Lonchura striata: one gene and its partner. The protein of the gene in region 1 interacts with the protein of each later gene in a biochemical or structural test. Links are inferred from orthologs where the notes say so. Each region holds a gene or a part of one and is shown in the gene's direction. Other genes may lie near its edges.

Region 1 (7,713 bases):
GCCTAAGTGTACACTGACCCAAGCAGACTTTAAGAGATGGTCATAGTTCAAAAAATGGGGATTGTGCAGATGCAAAAGGAAAAATAAACAAGATTTTGGCACAAGAAGGAAAGAAGAAGCACTGAGGTTAGAAAAGACACAAGGAAACAACAGCTGCCAAAGGGAGATTGTGTCTCCCAACACGTACTCTCATTTCAGAAAATATTTCATATTTGAGAAAGAGCAGCATTAGGCTTCCAATGCCAACGGTTTGCTTTGAATTAGATTCAAATTTCAGTTCATTTTTCTATTGTAGAATGAGTTGATCACCAGAGCTCTCAGGTTCTTGCACTGTTAAGCACAGTAAGTTGTAGTAACAACTATTAGCCTGTGTTACAGAGCCCTGGGTCTGCACAGCATTTGAGACCTCGTGGAATTCCTCTGTCAACTCAATACTTCACAGTGGTGCTGTGAGCAAGACAGGTTTTTTGGTCAAATATGGATAGGCTAGAATATACCCTTCATTATAGCTCAATTACTGAACCAGTGAGTGTTAACTCCCTACATGTAGGTGATGCCTTAAGTTGTAATTTTCATATTTTTCAGATTCTGTACGGCATTAGTAGATAGCTCTGAACTTCATAAAAATTGTTAGCAAGTTCTCTTCGCAGTTTAATTAGAAAAAACAATCATTTTCCAGCCCAAGAACCAAGGACACCATTGCAGCTTCAGCCCCAAAAAGTATAAACAACAGGAGGATAGGACTTAATAACCTGAAGCTGTAATTGAAAGCCGTTCCCAATATGGAAATGGACCAAAACTTATAAAAGTGTGAAAATTCGTGACCCATAATCCATCTTGGGTGTAGTGTTGGCCAGGCTTTTGTGCTGCCCAAGGTGTATACTTTGAAGACTTAAAATAAATATGTACTTTCCTTTAACACTGTCTAGCTTTTGTTCTAGGTAGCCTCTCAAGGCAGCATAGGGGGCTCTACAATGAAGCAAAAGCCCAGGAAAGCCAGTGCTGAGGGCAGGTTGCTTGTGACATCCCCAGTGATGTGAGCTGCCAGCTCCAGAGAGACAAACAGAGTTTCTCTTTAACACCCTCTGCCTGCCCCAGTGAGTCCCTGCTCAGAAATGGTGAGTGGGTTTGGGAGGTAAGATGTCTTAATTAAATCCCTGATTTTTTTTCCCACCGCAGTCAGAAGTTCTGCCAGTCGTTATTGATAGGGATGCACTTGGATCCTGAGAGTAAATGCCTCCAGAGCCCATCGCGGTGACACGTGTCTCTTCAGCAAACAGATCCGAAGCCAGGGGCAGGAGCACTTCTCACATCTTCAGCCGGACTTGTTCTGCTGCCCAGTCGCTGCCGCTGTCCTCCCGAGCCGTTCGCTGACTCATCAGCTTGTGCATTTGCCCTAATTAGTCATTTGCAAGCACCATTGTGCTCAGGAAGTTCTCTAACGTAAGCGTGAGTGGGAACTTAGAGCAGCAATAAAGGTCAAGAAAAGTGACTAAGGCATCATATACTGGAATAAGTTTCTGTTATCAGCCACTGGGAAAGTGGGAAAGAAAGTGTATATGCAGACTATTAGAGGAGTGACACAAAAGTTTAATAAAGGGAAGGATGTGTGTGAGGGAGAACATTTGCTTAACATCTCTCAAGAACTGCTACAGTATGAAATGCTTAATTGCAGAACAAGTTTCCACTAACACCCTTCAGAAACACAGCTGGGTTTTGAAGCATTATTCTTTATTATGAGCTCGGGGTAAGCATGTTTGGCATGAAAGAAATGTGTCTCGTAAGGAGACCACAACACTTACTCACAACTCCCCAGACAGTTCATGCTGGGAAGTCTGATACCTTTGAACAATCATTTGAGCAGCATTAGCAAAGTGTAGACTGGAATTTTCTCCAGTGATTTTTACTCAGGGGTCACCAACACATCCCGAGCTGTTATGTCCAAGTGATTTAAAGTGAGCAGAACCTTAGGTAAGAATACTCAATGATAAACCCTTTTGATGTATTGCACATTATGTGAATTTGGATAGTAGTAATAAAAGTGCACAAGTGAACCCTAAGACATCCATGCTTATAGGCACTAAAATTGTCATTCAAAGAGTCACTAGAGTGAAAACACAATCCTATTGGGTAGGGTAAGGTGGGTTCTGTAGCTTATAACTCAGCAGTCCCTGGTCCAGACTGCATCAAGTGCCTCTTGGTCTTTGAAGGGCACTGAGATTGCAGTCAAAGTAAAGAAGAGGCTTTCACTTTCAAGTGTGCCAGGCTCACCAGGAACCACTTCAACCTCAATCTGAGCGATTAGAGAAGCTGCAACGGCTGCTCTGAGTTGCACCAGCCTCCTCTAAGGCACGGGAAGTTCCTCTGTTATCACCCCTTCACTACCAAAAATCCCCGGATGCCTTCCAGGGGCTCTGGTGGGGAAGGTGGCATTGAGCTGGCCTTGTCATTTCTGCACCCACCAGGAGATCCCTCCCCATTTAGCCAGAAAATCCTCTAGGGGCTGTTATGGTGACTCTGTGAACAGACTAAAAAAACCTACACAAGCTGCAGTGCACAACTGAATTTCTTACTATGTCTGAGCTGCCTAAACTTCATTTTGAAAGATAAAGTTGTCTGTGAGCCCTTGGGGAGGGCTTCTTGGTACTTATGCAAGACACTTGAGGTTGAGTCTTGCTTAGATTGTTTTTCTTCTCAAGGCTTCAGTAAGCACAGAACAACAGAAATATCAGTAGTTCACAGCCACACTGCCATGGGCTATTGTGTTGTCACAGCTCATAAGCAAAGCAGAGCTGGGCTTTGTCCATGTTTGGATGCAAAAACCTTGAGGGAATAAAAGTAGTCAGAAGCACCTGTGCCTCTTCCACATATCTGACTGCTGTGGGCAGAAGCAATCATTTTCATACAGGAACTCCTTGTGATTGCTAACAAATGTCACAGTCACTTCTTTTTCTTCTTCTAAATAAAAAAATAATAATAATAACCCCCCCAATACAGAACACCCATGACTGTATGCCTAAACCAACCTGGAAGTTGGGAATCCACAGCAGAAGTGTTAGGAAGGTGCAGTACTGAAACACCATCACTTTGCCCTGCAGGTGTTTCTTATGTGCACACAGCAGCTAAAGAATGCCACTCATGCCTGTCAAAGCTGCTTTTTTTTTAAAGGTATCATTACTGCTGAGCTGCAAACCGAGTAGTCTCATAAGGTTCAGCTCCAGATGGTCACTTGAAGTCCTTGCTAGTAGGAACCCACAAGATGTAAAGGAACGCCTGAGCTCTGTGGGGTCACTCCACCTGGAACTGTGCCTTCCCTGCCTCCCCAGAGTGCTTACCCACACATGACCCTGAGCTAAGGGTACAGAGCTAAGGCTCTTAACTTTAAATGTGTGGGCTCTGCCCCAGTTTTCCTCTCCTTGCTCTCCCATGGCTGTATCCTGGCTCCTGATCCAAGAGGCCACTTGCCTGTGTGGCCATGTCAGTGCCAGGTGTCCAGCCCCTCCTGCTGTGCCTCCAGGGCCAGCTAAGGTCAGCAGGAGATCCTGTGGCTCTCAGGTGAGCAGTGCCTGAGGCCAGGCTTGCCATGGGGGGCACAGGGAGAGGAAAATTGGGCACAGGCACTGGGAAAATGGCATTGGATCTAGGCCAGCCTGGGTGGGTGGCAGGGAAGGCAGAGGGGTCACAGTGCCTCAGCACAGCCTCCTGGCTCTGCTGTTGGGTTTGCTTTGGGTTTGGGAAGTTGTAAAACTTGCTCGAAATGTGCTTAATTACCTGTCGGTTCCCCTTCTGGGCTGCCCGGCTGTTGAGCTGACTGTTCCCTTTAATTAATGTGAAGTTCTGAACCCTTTAACTGGAAATGGACTAGAAAATGTCCTGTGAGGAGTGGCTGCGGGACCTGGGTTTGCTTTGTCCAGAGAAGAGGAGGTGCAGGGGGTGCTCCATCACTGTGTAGAACTCACGGAGAGGAGGTGTAGGGAGGTCTCTGCTGCCGTGGCTGCAGTGAGAGGACAGGAGGACATGCTCTTAATGCACGATAGGGAAGATTCAGGTTAGGTAGAAAATAAAAATGTCTCTGTTAGGATGGTCAGGCATGGGAATAGGCTCTTCGGGTATGGTGGAGTCACCATCCCTGGAGGTGTTTAAGAGGCGCTGGGGATGCGATTTAGGGGCTGCAGGAGCAGTGCCAGGTGTATGATTGGACTGGATGATCTTAAAGGTCTCTTCCAACCTCGATGTTGTAGAAACATCCCGGGCTTTTACTGTACTACACCTCTGGGAGAGGCAGCGGAGTCTAGCACTGACCAAAGATGAAAGGAGGCGATAAAGAAGGGACCATCTCCTCGCGCTGTGCCCACGGGGGTGCGATTTGCGGCGGGACCCGCACGGGCCCCGCCGGCGGGCGCGGTGGGGCCGAGGGGCGCTGTGGGGCCGCTGTGGGGCCGGCCGGGAGCGATCGGGCCGCGGTGGGGCCGCGGTGGGGCCGGCCAGGAGCGATCGGGCCGCTGTGGGGCCGCGGTGGGGCTGCGGTGGGGCCGGCCAGGAGCGATCGGGCCGCGGTGGGGCCGCGGTGGGGCCGGCCGGGCCCGGGCCCGCCCCGCACGCAGCGCCGCACGTGAGGCGCGGCCCCCGCCCAGCTGAGCGCTCAGCTGACCCCGCGCAGGGGCCGGGCCGCGCCGCCGCTCCTCACTGGCGCAGCGCGGGCCCCGCGCCGCGCCCGCACCTCCCCGCAGCCCGTGCCCCGATGCTCTGAGCCCGCGCGGCCCCACACCCGGCTCGGCGCCGCCATCTCCCCGCCACCGCCATCGGAGCCTCGCGTCCCAGGGAGCCGGCGGGAGGAGAAGCCGTCCCGCCGCCATGGACAGCCCCGGCGGCGTCACCGACAAGAAGAGGTAGCGATGCCGCGCCGCCCCCCGCCGCTCTCTGCTGCCGGGCCCCGCCGCCCCCTGCTTTGTTACCGCCGCCCCCTCCTCGTCCTCTTCCCCGCCGCCCTCGCCCGGCCCGCGGAGCGCTCCGCTCTTCCATTCCTCCTTCTCCTTCTCGTCCACGTCGCCATTTTGTCGGCGGGGGGAGCGGGCCGGGGCTCGGGGCCGGGGGGAAGCGCCCGGGCTCGGCCGCGCTGCCCGGCAGCGACCCGGGGCCGCTCCGCTCCCGGAGACGGGCGGGCAGGGATCGATCGTGCCCCGTGCCCGGCGCGCTCCCAGCCCGCCGTGCCCCGGCTTTGTGCGCAAAAGGGCCGGCTCGCATTCTGGAGATACTCGGCTTTTAAAAAATCCCCAAAAGTCGCGCTGGGGAGGTGTAAGGGGGGAGGGGGGGGCGGATGGACAATGTGAGTTGAGGAGTATGAATAATTCACCGAGGATTGTAAGCGCAAATTAGAGGAAAGGGTGGGGGGGAATAAAACCCTTAAAAGCCTTTGTTAGGCGGTGAAGTTTAAGGAGCCGGGGGGCTCGGGTGAGCAGGTCCCGGCGGTGGGGCTTTGTGGAGGGATTAATTGCCGCGTTCGCCATCTGCAGAAGGTTTGTTTATATGGATATCGATACCTTTTCTCGCCTTTTAATTATTCGAGATGCGTTTTGCCTGCCCTTGTATCCAAGGGTCATCTGAGCAGATTAAGCGCAGTAAGTGTTCCAGCGTGTAAGTTGTGTCGGGAAGGAGCCTGGCCGCTTGTAAAATGGATGGTGAGCTTTGTGCCGGGCTGGGAGGAGGCGCCGGCGGCCTCGGAGCGCCTTTGGAGCCGGTGCCGGGGAGGGATGGGAGAAGCGCCTCTCGGTCCGGTGAAATCCCAGCACGGGGGCACCCGGGGTGGCATTCCACCTCTGGTTTCTCTACTCCGGGAGGATGGCTCCTGAGGAGCCTGTGAGAAAATGTTGCAACCAAAATGATTAATCTGCTCTTTGCTCTGATGCCCTAATTTAGTGGCAGGTCTAGGAAAGGGGTTTGAGAGTTGTTTTCTGAGACTTTTATTTTGGTTTATTGGGCTTTTTTGTTTATCTTTTTTATCTTACTTTTGCCTTTGAGCATTTGTTATTTTTAACTTACCGTTCTGCCCCACTGGAAAACTTTTTCTTTTTCTTTTTTTATTTTTTTTGAATTGCCTTATCCTGGATGTAATCTGCTTTCTTCAGAATGCAAGAATGAGTATGCAAAGCTCATCCTTCCTTCCTAAAGGCAGGGCTTAAGAAAGAGAATTTGTTGTTTTCTGTTTCATGCAGACAAAGTTCAAAGTCAGGAATGTTTCTTATAAAGGAATATTCAGATTACTCCTGTTGCAGGGTTTTAATGGAAAACATAGAGCTGTGTCTGTGGTACATTCATCCTGGGGGCTGTGGATGTACAGTTGAGCGAAGATGGCTAAGCAAAAAAAGGAAGGATATGAGCTCAGCAGAGAACTTCATGAAAATAGAAATGCTTGCATTTCTCAAAAACCTGGGTTGTTTTTGAAGGGTTTAGGTTTGATAGTGTCCATATTCAGAATACCTTGAAGGGAGAAGTCCTTTACGTCCTTTTCTTTATCACCTTTGATGATAAAACTTTGGCTAATTGTATATACAGTACACCTCAATTTTGGCATGGGTTAAGATTCTTTTATTCCTTGCCTCTCCCTCTGCTTGTATGTGGATAGTGTTTATCTCTTGATAGTTAATGTAAAGCTTCTTATTCACTTAATTATATGCTGTGAGATTCAGAAAATATGGAATTTGCCCAAGTTTATGTCTCAGTCTTTAAAGTGAAGTTTGGTCATAGCAGTATCTGAAGGTGTGGATTTTTATACTGGCCTGTTGAGTCAATTTTTTGATGTGGTTCCAAGCTTCTTGTATATGTACAGGGGTCAAGATTCCCTAAGAAATCAAGTATCACGCCATGATTAGATACTGAATTATTTGGGTTTTAGCCATTCTTCAGTAGTTGTATCACTTTGATGTGCTCCTGGGTTTTCCCCCAGGTGCTCAAGGACTGCGTTTCTATGCATGGAGTGGGTGAAACAGAGTTGTTGGGAGCTTTGTTTGCTCATCCACTCTCATTTGAACCAAATTTAAGGCTTTTGGTGAGAAGTATGGGATTTTTCTCAATATTCTTTTAACAAACTCCAGTGTGCAGATGGCTGATGTAGTGAAAAGCTTTTCCTCGGGTCTGTGCTGTGACACTTCACTATTAGCAGAGGAATTCTAGTGTCTTTTTAAGTAAACAGTCATTTAGGGTTATGGATTAGTCCTTACTTTTGTAGTGGCTTGCAGCTCGTAGGTAACGCGGAGTCATTTTGTTAGTGTGCTGTAAGTCTTTAGAACATAAAATACATATTTTAAATGCTATAGGTACTAAATAAATATGGTAAGTGATTTTTGGAGCATTCATTCTGGGTCTTAAGATGGTATAAGCCAATGAAATTTAATATTCTGACATGGGTGCCTTGCAGAAGAACGTCAGCTTTTCAGTTCCTCAGAGTTGGGCCTTGAAACTTATTTTTTAGTGTCTAAAGGGGATGATTTGGAAGATCAGGGATTTTCTGCTGGATTTTTGCCACCGAAGTCCAGCTCCAGAATCTGTTTGAGAAGCCTGTACCCTGTGCTGATGGCTCTGAAGTGCAATGGCTACCCCTGTTTTTTCTTAAACGTGTATGAGGTCTTTAGGATTGTGTGTACCAGTGCTTTTGTCTGTTAATTTCTCTCAGCGCTGGGGGAACTGAGCCACCATTGCTAGAGTCGAAAGTGAATA
Region 2 (6,906 bases), on another chromosome or scaffold:
GCTCAGTGGGGATTTTTGTGCTTCCAGGCTCCAGCACGGATATCAGCGAGGACTGGGAAAAGGATTTTGATCTGGACATGACAGAAGAGGAGGTGCAGCTGGCGCTCTCCAAGGTGGAAGTGGCTGGGGAGGTGAGTCAGGAGAGGCAAAACTGCCCCCCAAAAAGCATCACCAAGGCCTCGGGGTGCTGGGATGAGTGTGCAGGTTTCCCAAGGGGAACAGAGCAGGCAAATCCCTGTTGTGGGAGTGTGAGGATACATCAGGTGCCCTGGGAAGGAGGAGCTGTTGAGTTACAGAAACAAACAGCTGAGAACAGCTCAGAAACAGCTCAGAAACGGATTTCCTCTTGCTTGCAGCTGGAAGATGAAGAGTGGGAAGACTGGGAATAAAGCAGCTGCTTCCAGTGTGTGTCACAGGCTCATTTCCACCATCGAATGTGAATCCAATCTCGGACCGGCTGTTCCTTTGTGTGTGACTGTGCTGGGGGTTGCAGTTCCAGGCTGGAGGAGTTCCATCCCTGCAAAAACCTGGGGGCAACTCAAGTCACCCCTTCAGATGCAGGAGGAGGAAGCAGGAGGTCGCTGGCACACAGGAGCCTGACTTCTCCATAGGTCCTAGAGACTGGCCAAGCCAAAACTGACCCTGCCGTGTTAGGGAGAGGCAGAGTGAGGGGTCCCTGGGGCCAGCTGGGCACTCAGAGCCCTGCCAGGAGTGCTGGGTGCTGCCAGGCTGCCAGCTGGCTCCTTCCTTGCTTGTGTGTGCACGTGTAACCTACAGCTGAGAGGATCCTGGACGTGGCTGTGCCTGCTCTGCAATTCCCACCTGGAAAGCAGCACCCAGGGAGGGCCTGAGGGCTGGAGGTGCTGCAGAAAAAGGCACTTGGCTCGTGGCTTTGACCCTGGAAGGAGCCAAACCCCCCTGCCAAACCCTGAGCTTCTGCCTGGCTTTTTGTCTTGGAAGCTTTTTCTCGTGGAAACTCCCGTTTCCAGCAGTTCCTCAAAGAGCCAAGGCCTGCTGCTCCCCACCTTTTGCAGCTGCACCACCTTCCTGCGCTGGGTTTTGTGTCTTTCTAGTGAAATTCTCCAGGCAAAATCCTCGTGGCTTGCTCTTACTGCAGCCCTGCTGGGCTGGCAGTGGTTTGGGTCAGCTGGGAGCAGAACCCCTCGTGTTGGTGGCCAGTTCAGCCCAGCCTGACCCACTGAGCACTTCAACCTCTGCTTGGCCAGCCTGGGGAGAAAGAAGCTCCCAAATGTGGGTGATCCCTGCTGGCAGAGGCCGTGTGTCCCCATCTGACCCCTGTGCCACCCGTGCCAGGCCCTGCAGCCACCACGAGCTTTGCTGTGCTCACTTGGGTTCCTCCTCTGCTTGCTTCACCCCCCTCAGGCCTCTTTTTGGGGGCAGTTTCCTTGTCACAACACGAGATGTTGCTGCTGCACGGTTATCCCAAGGGGACGGTGCCCTCGCTGCTCTCCCTGGCCTTGGGGGTGCTGGGGTGACACTTTGTGCTGCCCTTTTCAGGCCTGGGGGTTCCTTGCTGGGTTTGGACAACACTAAACGAGGTGCACGTGGAAGAGTTGGGGTTTTAAATTTGGGTTTTCCTTCTTTGGGGTGGCTCCTGGTGGGAGCATCCCTCTCCTGCCAAAGCCTTGTGTCCAGCAGAGCCTCAGCTTGTCCTGGCTGGGATTGTGGTGGGCAGGGGACACGGGGGACACCAGTGGGGACCTGGGGCTGAGGCTGCAGCATCCGTGTCGCTTCCTTTTCTTCTTTAGCCGAATTAACCCTTGGGTTGGTTGTGCAATATTCTCCGTTCTCGAACTATTCCACATCTCCCTGAGCCTTTTCTAGCTGGGGTGAGAAACCAGGAGCAATTCTAACAGCTGGTAGTTTTGTAACGACGACTTTCTCCAAACCTTTTGCAGTTAACAGCAATTAAAGGAGTTCTCAGAGTCTCTGCCTGTCCCGGGTGTCCTCATTTCCTCTAGGGTGGGGATGACACAATTTTCCTTTTCTCACATCTCCTTCAGGACAGGGAGAAGAACCTGTGGGAGTGTGGCCCCTGTTGATGGAGTAAAAAAGTAACTCTCCTTAAAAAGGACAAAAGTTTCCTCAATTTGGTTAAAAGACACCTCATAGGACCTTGGGGACCACCTCAAAATTAAGGATAGATGTTATGGTTTGACATTGGCGCAATGTTGGTGTTCTGGAACTAAAGAGAGTGAGTTTTTCTGGGAATTTTGTTAATCACCCCTCTGTGTTCTCAGAGGCGTGTCTACCTTTAATTGGTCAATATTTAAATTGAACTCTTCTTTCCGGGAAAATTCTTTTCCCGTGTCAAACCACGACAAGTAGACAATTGGACAGAAGCCGAAAAGATCCTCGGGGATCTGCTGGGGAATGGCCACGGGAACGGGACACGAGGGACAGCACAGAGGGGACAGGGCAGGAGAGAGCACGGGTGACAGGACAGAAGTGATGGGACACGAGTGACAGGACACGAGTGACAGAACCCGAGCGGCAGGACAGAGGTGACAAAATGCGAGGACATGAATGACAGGACAGAGGTGACAAAGCACGGGTGGCAGGACACAAGTGGCAGACAGGACACGAATGACAGGACAGAGGTGACAGGACACGGGTGAAAGGACACGGGTGGCAGGACACGAGTGACAATACATGGGTGCCAGGACAGAGGTGACAAAACATGGATGACAGGACACGGGTGGCAGGACACGGCTTACAAAACACGAGTGACAGGACACGAGTGGCAGGACATGGGTGACAAGACAGAGGTGACAAAACACGAGTGACAGGACATGAGTGGCAGGACACGAGTGACAGGACAGTGGTGACAAAACATAGGTGACAGGACACGGGTTCCAGGACAGAGGTGACAGGACACGAGTGACAGGACACAGATTACAAAACACGGGTGATAAGACACAGGTGTCAGGACACAGGTTACAAAGCACGGGTGTCAGGACACGGGTGTCAGGACACGAGTGGCAGGACACGAGTGACAGGACACGGGTGACAGGACACGGGTGTCAGGACATGGGTTCCAGGACACGGGTGGCAGGACACGAGTGGCAGGACACGGGTGCCAGGACACGGGTGCCAGGACAGAGGTGACAGGACATGGGTTACAAAACACGGGTGATAGGATACGGGTGTCAGGACACGACTTACAAAGCACGAGTGGCAGGACACGGGTGCCAGGACACGGCTTACAAAGCACGGGTGCCAGGACATGAGTGGCGGGACACGGGTGGCAGGACACGGGTGGTGGGACACGGGTGTCAGGACACGAGTGACAGGACACGGGTTACAAAACACGGGTGATAGGACACGGGTGTCAGGACACGACTTACAAAGCACGAGTGTCAGGACACGGGTGGCGGGACACGGGTGGCGGGACACGGGTGTCGGGACACGGGTGCCAGGACACGGCTTACAAAGCACGGGTGTCAGGACACGGGTGCCAGGACACGGGTGCCAGGACACGGCTTACAAAGCACGGATGTCAGGACACGGGTGTCAGGACACGGGTGTCAGGACACGAGTGGCAGGACATGGGTGGCGGGACACGGGTTACAAAGCACGAGTGGCAGGACACGAGTGGCGGGACACGGGTGGCGGGACACGGGTGGCAGGACACGGGTGGCGGGACACGGGTTACAAAGCACGAGTGGCAGGACACGAGTGGCGGGACACGGGTGGCGGGACACGGGTGGCAGGACACGGGTGGCGGGACACGGGTTACAAAGCACGAGTGGCAGGACACGGGTGTCAGGACACGGGTGGCCGCCGGGCCGCGCCGCCGGTGCAGTTCCGCCGCCGCCCGCTGGGGGCGCCCGGCGGCCGCTCCGCGCGCACAGCTTTGGCCCCGCGCGGCCGCCGTCGGGCCCGCGCCCCTCCCGGTGCCGCCATATTTTGGCCGCCGCCGCCGCCACCGGAGCCGCCGCCGCCGCGATGGGTGAGGGCCCTGAGGGGCGGGCGCGGCCCGGGCAGCTCCGGGCACGGCGAGGGGATGGCGTGGGGCCGGAGAAGCCGCCCCGAGGCCGGGCGGTGCGCGCAGCCCGCCCGCCCCGCGCCGCCGCCGCCGCCGCCCTCGCCCCTCAGCGGCGTCCCGGGCGCTCCTGAGGGCGGCGGGGCCGGCGCGGCCGCTGAGTCACGGCGGGGTCGCTGCGGGGCCTGGGGGGGTCCTCGGGGGCTCCCGGGGAGGGCGGCCCGGGGGCTCTGAGCGCTGAGGGCAGCGCCGGCCGCGCCTCCGGGGAGCTCCGGGCTGGGCGGGAGCTGCGGGGCGTGAAGGGTGAGGCAGCCCGGGACTGGGGTGAAATACCGCGGGTTTGGGGGTGCCGGGGTGAAATACCGCGGGTTTGGGGTGTCAGGGTGAAATACCCCGGTTTTGGGGGTGTTTGGGTTGAAATACCCCGGGTTTGGGGGTGTCGGGGTGAAATTCCCTGGCTTTGGGCGTTTCGGGGTGAAACAACCCGGTTTTGAGGGTGTCAAAGCGAAATACCCTGGGTTTGGAGATCCTGGGGTGAAATATCCCATTTTTGGGGGTGCCAGGGCTGCAGTGCCCGGCTTTGGGGGTGTTTGGGTTGCAGTACCCCGGGTTTGGGTGTGCCAGGGCTGTAAGACCCCGAGTTTGGGGGTGTTAGGGTGAAATACCTTGGGTTTGGGGGTGTTAGGACTGCAATGCCAGGCTTTGGGTGAAATACCCTGGGTTTTGGGGGTGCTAGGGTGAAACACCCCGGTTTTGGGGGTGCCAGGACTGCAGTGCCCGGTTTTGGGTGAAATACCCTGGTTTTAGGGGTGCCAGGGTTGCAATACCCTGGTTTTAGGGGTGCCATGGCTGCAGTGTCCAGATTTGGGTGAAATACTCTGGTTTTGGGGGTGTCAGGGTGAGATACCCCGGTTTTGGGGATGCCACGACTGCAGTGCCCGGTTTTGGGTGAAATACTCTGAGTTTGGGGGTGCTGGGGTGAAGCACCCTGGTACTGGGGGTGCCAGGGCTGCAGATTCTGGCTTTGGGTGAAATACTCTGAGTTTGGGGGTGCCAGGGCTGCAGTGCCTGGGTCCAGCTGGCGGGAGCTGTTGGAGCCCAGTTTTGGGGTGTCAGTGCTGTCACTTTGGGGTGTCAGCTCTCTCTGCTCCATTTTCATCCTCCTGCAGCTGCTGGGGCTCAGTCCTGAGCTCCCCCAGAGCTCAGGGGTTCAGGTGAGAAATAAAAATAATATTTCTGAAATAAAAATCCAGCTCCAGCCCTCCGTGTCACTGGGCTGTCCCAAATAAATCCCAGCTCAGAGTTACCCCTTCCAAAAGTTTTTTAAAAATTCCTTTTATTTATTGAATTCCTTTAATTCCTGCAGATTTTTGGTTTGATGTGCCTGATGTGGGAGGTCCCAGCTCAGGGAGGAGGATTTTATTTTTTAATTTTTCTTTAATTTTTTTTTTTTTGAGGATTCCTATAAGAAGACAGAGTTTGAAAAGATGAGTTGGAAAAGCCCAGCCTTGTAGCAGCCGTGTTTTCATTAAAATTGAGTGAGGATCTTCTGGAAATAAAGATTAAAATGTTTCCATTTTCCACCTGCAATGTTGTCTTTTAACCAGGGCTGCTTCAGAAGCTTCATGGCTTTAAAGCGGCGAGTTTAAGTTGGATATTGAGAATAAATTTTTTCCTGTGAGGGGCTGGGATGGATTTCCCAGAGAAGCTGTGGCTGGAATTACCCCAAGCCAGGTTGGAAAGGGCTTGGAGCAGCCTGGGATGGTGGAAGTTTTCATCTCCTTCCAAACCAGGGATTCAGTGAACCTTCAAAAATACTCTGTGATCATTTAAAAATGATCATTTAAAATTTATTTCACTTATCATGATCTCACCAGGAGCTTTTCTGCCTCCTGAGGTGAAGTCAGTGACCAGTCTGTGTGTGGCTGCTGCACCTCCCAGCCCTGCACAGCTCGGAAATTTTAATTTATGGCTTCAGATATAAAACCTGGGCTGGCAGCTCTGAGGAGAAAAATGTCCTGGGGCCTGGTGGGAATGGCTGGAAATTCTTGGGGCTGTTTTATGTGGAGCTGAGAAGTTTGTGCACAGGAGCTTCCCCTTCTTCCCACCCCTGTTAGAGCCGAATATCCTCCCTGTTTGAATTATCCTCCTGTAACTTTATTATTTTTAAACCAGCTAAGGTTGAGTGGATTTTTTTTTTCATGGTTTTAAATCATGATGCTGTTGGAAATTGTCATTTGCATGGCAAAGGAGGAATGAACTGATGACATCTTTAAATGCCTTTTTTTAGTGCTGCTTAACCCGTGGAGCAGCATTAATGCTCAATTCTCAATAAAACCCCCGTTAATGCTCAATTCTCAATAAAACTCCCGTGGCTGATGAATTTTACAGTTAATTGGCTGGTTTGCTTTGTTTGCTTTAGCTCAGCAGAGCAAACATGAACTTTGTCAAGGGGGAGAGTTTGATTATTAAAATCCTGTGAGAGTGAAAGTCCTGATTCCTTCAGGCTGCTGAGGTCCAGGTAAATCTGCTTAGCAAATCACACAGCCCTGTTTGTTTGTGAGGCAAAGCACGTGTTGGAAGGGATGGATTTATTGGAATTTCATATCCCTCTCTAATTATCTCTGAATGTTTCTGGTTGGTTTTAATTGGAACTCTCCTAGGTCGAGTTTGAGTGGATTCAGTTCAAGTTTTTCCCTGGTTTTGGGATTGTTCTCAGCTAACTCTTGTGCTTGATCAGTCCATTTTTTAAAGGAAATCAGAATGGATAAACCAGCTTGAAGAGGACTTAAAGCCCTCAAATTTTGGGCTGAAAAGATCAAAATGAGGAGCAGGAAGCATTGAGAACTGCCCTGAGGAGTTGCTGCCTTCTTTTTCCAGCAGGGCAGGGACATTCCAAA

What was found.
Region 2: the proteins of HIF1A (region 1) and KPNA6 form a complex in vitro, tested with the Homo sapiens proteins (2 studies listed by BioGRID). The link is inferred for Lonchura striata from reciprocal best matches to the Homo sapiens genes HIF1A and KPNA6.

Annotation. Positions count from the first base shown.
Region 1 is NC_134608.1:6,158,042-6,165,754, forward strand, and holds the start of HIF1A (hypoxia-inducible factor 1-alpha), read left to right. Parts: upstream 1-4,700; 5' UTR 4,701-4,854; coding exon 4,855-4,889; intron 4,890-7,713.
Region 2 is NC_134628.1:975,009-981,914, forward strand, and holds the start of KPNA6 (importin subunit alpha-7), read left to right. Parts: upstream 1-3,906; 5' UTR 3,907-3,969; coding exon 3,970-3,973; intron 3,974-6,906. Other genes in the region: BSDC1 (BSD domain-containing protein 1), read left to right, coding at 28-131, 357-389. UniProt on the Homo sapiens protein: Functions in nuclear protein import as an adapter protein for nuclear receptor KPNB1. Binds specifically and directly to substrates containing either a simple or bipartite NLS motif.